Coturnix japonica: one gene and its partner. The protein of the gene in region 2 binds, or shares a complex with, the protein of the main gene of each other region. Links are inferred from orthologs where the notes say so. Each region holds a gene or a part of one and is shown on either strand. Other genes may lie near its edges. The genes, in order: PDCD10 and STRIP2.

The links.
Region 1: STRIP2 (region 2) and PDCD10 share a complex: the UniProt entries of both Homo sapiens proteins name them as parts of the core of STRIPAK complex. The link is inferred for Coturnix japonica from reciprocal best matches to the Homo sapiens genes STRIP2 and PDCD10.

Annotation. Positions count from the first base shown.
Region 1 is NC_029524.1:18,270,776-18,275,252, reverse strand, and holds the start of PDCD10 (programmed cell death protein 10), read right to left. Parts: upstream 3,087-4,477; 5' UTR 2,937-3,086; exon of another isoform or gene 2,894-2,936; intron 1-2,893. UniProt on the Homo sapiens protein: Promotes cell proliferation. Modulates apoptotic pathways. Increases mitogen-activated protein kinase activity and STK26 activity. Important for cell migration, and for normal structure and assembly of the Golgi complex.
Region 2 is NC_029516.1:802,736-806,544, reverse strand, and holds part of STRIP2 (striatin-interacting protein 2), read right to left. Parts: coding exon 3,745-3,809; intron 3,192-3,744; coding exon 3,094-3,191; intron 2,907-3,093; coding exon 2,780-2,906; intron 1,643-2,779; coding exon 1,542-1,642; intron 1,012-1,541; coding exon 945-1,011; intron 1-944. UniProt on the Homo sapiens protein: Plays a role in the regulation of cell morphology and cytoskeletal organization. Required in the control of cell shape. Calmodulin-binding scaffolding protein which is the center of the striatin-interacting phosphatase and kinase (STRIPAK) complexes.

The DNA of each region.
Region 1 (4,477 bases), on a different chromosome or scaffold from region 2:
CATCAGAGGGAAGGAACAAGATGGATATAGCCAGTGTAAAGAGAATTTAAATTCGAAAACAGTGCTAAGATGCAAGCTAATATAATCCTGTCTGTTTAGCATTAAGCCAAATGCATCAAGCCCTATTCCCAGAGAATAACTAATACAGAATCTACTTTCACTGTCCATATAAATCTTATATGTTATAACCTTCAATGTTTCAGCACCAAAAGACTAGCCCAACTATTCAGTAATCACAGAACCAGCACACTTAAGATGAATTTCAATGTTATGTTATAGATCTATTCCTCCAAATCCACCCAATGAGGTTTTCAATCATTCAATGGAACTGCCTGAAAGGAAAAAACAACACAACACCCTACATTCAGATAAACTTCTTGTAAAGCAGGAAGATGAAAAGCAAGAAACTCCACACTTTCCCAAAATGTACAGCTACTGTTACCAGTGCCCAAGACACAAACTTGCTTTTCTCATCTATGCTATTTTCTGACAGGCACTTAAAAGTCAAGTGGCAGAAGAACCAGGAAGGGCAGAAACTTTCCCAAATCCACCTTTGCTCACTGGTCAGTGTGAAAACAATCTACTTGTCTATGAAAGAAAGTATTTTGCTTCATACTACCTTTTGAAAGCATGTTTAAAGAGAAGACAGAGTGTTATGCTTGGAACTTGAAAGAAGTTGGAAAACAATGGAAACATGAAGTTCCAGATGGCAGAATTTCACTCCTCAGCTACGTCACCTACCTACACCACTGGTGCTGTCTCCATTCCATTCTCCAGGCTCCATTTACCTCAGATGTAGATAATCTTAAAGCAGCCAAACGTTTGTGCTATTTCTTTTTAAGCCTGCTCCTTCTTTTTAAGCGAAGTACCAAGTGGAAGAAGGCCTGAGGCATTGATCTACCTGCATGATTAATTCAATGACTGGTTTTTAGGACAGAACCAGAAGTTACAGCTCTGCTCCTCCTAGAAAGATTATCCCCACTAACAAGAAGTTCCACTCCACTTCTTGTAGGGAGGATTCAAGAAGGTTGTGTTAAGAGAAAATCCACTAAGATCTTTGCCATCAGAAAAACTTAAGCTTAGTAAGAAAGAACGGGATAAAAACAAACACTTAACTTGAGGCCTGTCCCAAATTCAGAGGCAAAGACCTTGGCCTTTATTTGTAAAGCCCAAGTACATGGCTAATATGCAGTTCTAACAGTGTACCTACCCTGTGCACAACTTGGTACCTTTAAGTTTCTCTTGTTAATGGTTGCTCATAATAAACTGGAAAAAAAAGCACAAGTTCCCCCCTTCCGGAGAGAAGTTACCTACATAGTACTTCCATTCGTAGATCATAACCACTCCTCTTGTATAACTTTGACTGCATAGTACAAAGCTGAAAGCCTCTGTGCCTCAAATACTGAGCTACTTCTCTTATTAGAGCTGGGGACAGGATGGTTGAATTCACTGAAATTGGTGTCAAGTGCAGCTATGATGATAACAACCTCTGTATTCTAAAACTAATAAAGACAACAAGAAACCTAAAGAAGCAGCCTACTGTACAGGTTCTGTATTAAGCTAATGCTTACATTCAGCACCTTCCCAAAAGAGATAACAAAAGGAATACTATCAGAAAACAGCACTCAAGTTTAATAGGCATCTTTAAATGCCTCTTAGTAGAGCAAACATGTACTCCTCAAATACCTGCATGCACATCTATCACAGCCACTTCCAGATGAGTTCACTCTGACAGAGTATAACTGCTTGTGCATTTTATTATTGTGAAGCCAATTTGGGTGACTAAGTTGCACAAACTTGCAGTAAATTCAAGAAGCCTATTTTTAGACGGTTACTTCAAAATACTCTGAAATCTGGCTTTCAATAAATCTGTTGTCTGAAGTTCAGAATAGAAATTATTTAGTACACCCTAATACTTTGGTTTTGTGTCTGCCTATCACATGAAAAACAAAAGATGCCTGGACTAGGCCCTAATTTCATCTCTCTCTTGTACTATCACTACTGACACGCAGACAAAGTTCATTTCTCTTTTGTTAACATGTCTCTTTTTAAGTACTAGAAGGCCACAAAGAAGCCTCTCCAATACAGAATAACACAACACATCCCTGTTTCTCTTTCAAGCTCTTTTCCTCTTCCAAGGGAATTTGAAAGTAAAACTACTCAGTTCTCATTGCCCTATCAACCACTAACAGATAAACCACAAACAGAAACAGCTCCAAACACAATAACACATCCCAATGGGTAAACAACCAGCACTCAGCAATCAGTTCCTCTGATAACAAGAACACATCCACCTGCCTCAAGGCTTCAGCAGCAAACCTGTGCCCCCTATATGGACAAGCCCCAGGAAGGCCACACACTCGCCACTCATTAATCATATAACAGCACACTAAGGTGTTTAACAACACCAGCCTAAAGCTTGGTTTAAAGAGGAAGCACGACGTGATCACTTTCTATCCTCCCCCAGACGAAAGGCCCCACCTGGAGCGAACCAGGCCCAGCCCTGACAACGCCGTTCAGCAGTACGAGGCCGGGCTAAAAATACAACGCAGGCCTAACGCTGCCAAGAACAGCCATAGGGCTGCGGACGGGGGTTGGTACCCGGCCCTACCAGGAGGGATCCGAGCGGGAAGGGCGGAAACAAGGACGAGCCCTTGGGCCAGGTCACCCCGCGGTAGGAAGAAAAAGGCCGAGGCCTCACACCTGCAGCAAACAACGTTTCTCCCCTCACCCAGCCTCAAACCTGAGACAGTTTAACGCTTCTAACATAGCACAACCCCAAAAGGAAACCCAGGCCTTACACCGGTGACCCCCACCCTCTTCCTCTGTGTCTCTCCAGGCGCTTATCCCTTTAAAGACATGGGCCTAGAGAAGAAAACGAAGCCTCTCTCACCTCACCGCCTTACCTCGATACCTCTCCGCCCCGCAAAGCTCACCGAGCTCCGAGGGGGCTCCTCCACCTCGCCGGAAACCCAACAAGGAGGAAGCGTCCGCCGTGTTACCACACACCAGGCGTTGTCCGGAACTAACCGGCAGCCGCTCGGATACTTGGGATTCGTAGTCCTCTCTCCTCAACTACAACACCAACAATGCAACGAGGCGATAAAAGGGGCGGGTAGGAGGGAATGAGGAGGAGTATAGGAGTAGAGTCTATTCAATCAGAGCTCGAATCTGGACGGGTGGGCGAGGCCTGGACGGGGCGCGGTGGCATATCCCGGCGCGGGGAGCAGCGGCTGCACTTCTCACAGTGGAGGGGGGTGGTGTTGAGCTGCTGCTGTGGTAAGTGCCTTTAGCCTGCTGTGTTCAGCCGGTGCTGTGTTTAGGGTTGCGGGAGCAGCCTGCGGTTTGATGTCGGTGTGAAGCTGCGTGGCTCCGTAGTGCGGGTTGTGTGTCAGTGCCTGAGGGGAGGTGGTGGGTGATGTGGGGAGAGAATGGGGAAGGAAGAGAGCAATAATAATGTGGCGTCCTGCTGTCCCGGCACCTGCAGCCTGTCCACCTGAGTGTGTTTTATGCTATTCTGTGGTCTCCTGAAGCTCTGTCCCAGCCGTGGTTTGAGCGTGGCAGAACGAAGCTGCCCCAGCCTTGTGCTGAGCTGCTGCCTCTCTCCTCTCTATCTCTTGGCTTGTGTTGCCCTGTAGGTGTCCCCTATATGGGCTGTTTGACAACGGTCGCGTTACTTTTGGTGCTCGCAGTTATTGGAAAGCTTTAAGGTGAAGCTCTTAGTAACCAATATGAATTCCCATCAATACGCAGCTCAGTTCTAGGTTTGAGCCTTCGTTTCTAATGCGTTAGCTTGCAACTTTTCCTGGTACTGTTATTACTTTGGTGAGGCGTATGCGGGTTTTGCTGTAAGCAGGTGATGAATCGGTGCATCGCGGTGCTCCTGAATGCCAGCTGCATCTCCTTGCAGCGCCGAGGTGGTGAAATGGGAAGATACTGATATATGTGTGGGAGCAGAGCCCTTGTGTGTGCTACCCATACATGCTACCAGTGCCCACCATCTGCATGTAGGTAAGGAAGGATGCTAGAAAACAACTACTAGATTTGTCATGCTTTACTGTGTATGCGGAGTATTTGTCTTTGATTCCTCAATTATTTTGATGCGATCAGTGCTTTAATCCAGCAGAAAGCCTTGCTATTTAGTTTGTGTGACAGACACAGAAGCATTATAGCATGGGTTGAGGTGCATATGCATCTATGATATTGTCATTCCTTAGTGGTTGTAAAGTGATGTTAGGAAGCTGCAGTCCTACTGGTGCTAGTATTTTACTTTAAGTCACAGCATAAGTAATGCTTAATGATGCTTTCCTAGATTTACTTAATATGCTCTTTGACCTGTGTTCAGGCAGTCCAGCAGAGCTCCAGGAGTGTCTGAGTGTTCCATCATTGTAATAACTCCCAACAGTTATTCTATATATGTCAATGTCATATGTTTACTTACCTCTTAATTCAACTTTTGTTTTGTTACTAAATGGAG
Region 2 (3,809 bases):
CTGGAAACAGCACTGCTGAGCGTGTCCTAGTTTTCCACAGAAGCAAACCAAGCACATCCTGCGTGCAGCCCCCTGAAAGCATTATCATCTATTACATCTGCCAGGAAATGTGATATGGCTGTGATGTTAAATCAGTGCAACAGAGTTAAAACAAACAAAAGACAGCATAAATATTGGCTGAAGAAAAGAAACACAACTACGTGCACTAATGTCACTGAAGAAGCAGTGAAGCAGTGTGTGTTTGATTTCTGTAAATAGGCACTGGATTTTTATAGAAATGGAGTTAGCAATCAATAAAAGAGGGAGGTGAAGAAAGAAAAAGGGAGGAGAAGAAATGAAGGAAGAAAAGAAGAAAAAAGAAAGGGAAAGAAAAGAAAGGAAAAGGAAAGGGAAGGGAAGGAAAAGGAAAAGGAAGGGTGAAAAGGAAAAGGAAAAAGGGAGAAGGAAAAAAAAGACAAGGGAAAAGGGAGAAGGAGAAAGGGAAAGGGAGAAAGGAAGGAAGAAAGAGAAAAGAAAAAAGGGGAAAAAGTAAAAAGAAAATGAAAAAATGAAAAGGGAAAGAGAGAAAGATAAAGAAGGGAAGCAAGGGAAGGGGGAAAAAGGAAAAGAGGGAAAGGAAAAAAGGAAACAAGGATAAAAGGAGAAAAAGACCACTGTGTGCCACTAGAGCTCCCAACGATGTGTCACTAGATGTCCCCATCGGGCCAACTTTGGCTCATCAAAACCACAGAAAGCCTTTCCCTTTATTTCTGATTGCAACGTGTTCACAGCCAAGGAAAACGACATAGGCTCGAAATTTTAGCAGCAGCAGTGAGATAAATTTTCAAGCCCTTCTACAGGAAAAAGTCTATTTTGGGGCTGAAGACACAGAAAAAATGAAAGAAAAGTCCTTCCTCACCCACCTGCATAAAGCAATACTGTTACAAGTGCTCTGCTTCACTTACTAGGCTTTCTGCAGTGAGCTCAGGCAACTCGTGGACTGTACAGTGCGGGTAATCCAGGACAGAGATGCTGTGGAAGATGGGAAAGAAGAGACTCATTAAGGACAATCGGCATGTGAGCCTAACGAGCAGAGCCCTCCCTGCTCCCAGGCATGCATTAGTGGGGGTTTGGAGGAGGTGGATCCATTAGGACATGGCAGATCAGTTATTTGTGTGTATATTAAAAACAAAAACTCATACGAAAAGCAGATTTTAGGTTAAAATGGAAATATCTGACAGCAAGAATATTACCAGCAAGATAATGCATGGCAAGGGCGTTGAGTCTTGCCCAAAGTTTCCAAGCCTTCTGTGTCTACTGCCTTTCTAAAAGTAGCCAACCAAAAAACCCTCAAACGTACACATATATAATATATGTGTATGTGTGTATAATAATAAAATGTACTTTAGACATACATTTTATTAATACATATAAGTGGGGTTTGGTTTCTTTTTGGAAAGCATCTGGCATGGAGAGGATTCAGTGCCACACTTTGCCCTTGCTTGAGCATCGTGCTGTATTTCCCACTGCAGCATCACTGGCCATCGCATGCGTGGCTGTACCTGTTTTTGGCAGTGATATAGGACATGATGTTTTGGTTGAAGAACTTCAGGATCAGCGGGATGCAGTTGGCAAACACCAAATGCTGGGACACATACTCAAACTGGGGGAGAGAAGCGAAATGGGTCAGCGTCAACAGGAACAACTGGAAGCGTGTGCTGGGAATTTCCATTTCCAGTTTGGATGGTTTGCTCTGAACCTGGCAGACCATCTTCCTTGTGCACAAGTCTGCTGTGTGAGGCTTGCATCACATACAACAACTCCCAGCATCTGGAAAAGTGTGTTGACACACAGAATTTCATGGCAAGACTCTAGAAGAGGTGCACCCAGTGAATGCAGGTCGCTTTTCAAGGTAAAAACTGGGGGAAAACATTAAATATGGAAGGAAAAGGAGGAGACTGACTACTACAAAGGATATAGGGTAACTTCCATTCTGGCTTCTACAGTTCACAGAATTGCAGGGGCTGGAAGGGACCTCTAGAGATCATCTACTCCAATCCCCTTGCCCAAGCAGCTCCTTCAACCCATTTGCACAGATCAGCAAAAAGAACAGATAAGGAAAAGAAAGAAAGGGAAAGAAAGGGAAAGAAAGGGAAAGAAAGGGAAAGATAAGGGAAGAAAAGAAAGGAAAAGAAAGGGAAAGAAAGGGAAAGAAAAGAAAGGGAAAGAAAGGGAAAGAAAGGGAAAGAAAGGGAAAGAAAGGGAAAGAAAGGGAAAGAAAGGGAAAGAAAGGGAAAGAAAGGGAAAGAGAAAAAGAAAAATGCCCACTAATTGTTTAACACAAATCAAACTGCATCTAGGACCCTGAGCTGGTTCTACTGAGGCCAGAGCCCTGAGAGCTCTACCCTGCTGAGGACCTCACGAGTCCTGCCTAGCCCCACTGCTCGTGTGGAAGTTGGGCACAGCAGGAGGAATCCTGCCTAACTCCTCCCCACCCCGGCTGCCAGGAGAGGCTCCCTCTGCTGAGATCTCTGGAATTCTAACCTGATTAACCACAGCATGTGTTCATCCACAAGTCAGAGAGCTCTTTCCACATGAGTGGAAACCACCCTGTCAACAAACAGCCAAAGATATATTGCAGGCAGGTTATTCCTGCATGAGTAATGCTCTAAAAAACATGTCCCAGAGCCAGGGTTCATCCCTACAATCCACTGCTCCTCTTGGAAACATTTCCTGGAGAGCTCCAGTAAGGATGCACCAGCCCCACGAGCACCAACCGTGACCCCTTCTCAGTGCTCACCTGGTAGATGTGGTTCAGCTTGAAGTGCTTGAGGAGCAGCAGCAGTAGAGCCGAGATGCTCTTCACAATAATCTCCTTGTGCCTGTTCACATCAATCCCCAACTTCATGCTCTGCAGGACAGTGATGCTGGCATGGTGAGGGAAGATCAAGGCTAACCATCAACCTGATGGGACCATCACTGACCCACATCCCTTGGACCCCACATCTGCAGCCCCATGCCCACATTTGGGGCTCCCTTAACCTATTTGCAACTCCCAACTTTCCCACTTGGTCCAAGGCTGGAACAGCTGGAGGTATCTCCTTCAGGACTTACGGCATCTCCTCAGGCAAGACGTCTGCCAGGATGTTGATGGAGTCAGTTTTGGCCTTGGAGGTGGGCGCTGCAGCAAGGAGGATCTTCAGCAGAGCGATCTGCAGAGGAGGCAGGTGTGGAGGCAAAGGGCGAATCCCTTCCTTTTCCTTGAGACTAGACAACTTCAAGCCAGCTCTAGAAGTTTCCACCAGCCCAAGGTTCACTCATGGTGATGGGCCAGCTGTGCCAATGCTCAGCTCTCCTTTTGTACTCAACTGCAGGCAGCAGGGCAGCTCAGCTTTTGTATTAAGTTGATGCACTGAGCTCTAGTGGTATGGATAAAACAGCGCTGCAGCTTATTGCATTTAAATGTTTGCCTCTCCCTGCAGACAGACTGTAGGTGGCCCAAAATGCATCTTAAAAGAGCTGAATTTGTGAATTGTAGTGTGTGGGAATCTCTTGAGTCGGTGGGAAAGCTGAAAGGGATGTCCCACTGTCCTATCTCCAAACACTGGACCATGCCTCTGGGTATCTGACCTCCTCGATCCTCTGGAACCCTCCTCTTGGAGATGACTTTCCACCCAGCTCTGCTCTGGATTCCCACCGAAATCCCAACGTTCAGATCCCTAACACCCACAGACCCTATTTCATTTCTAAGGAACACAGGCTTACCATATACTGGGGGAGATTGTATAGCATTGCTCGATACAAGACCTCACAAGGGGTTTCTTGGACTT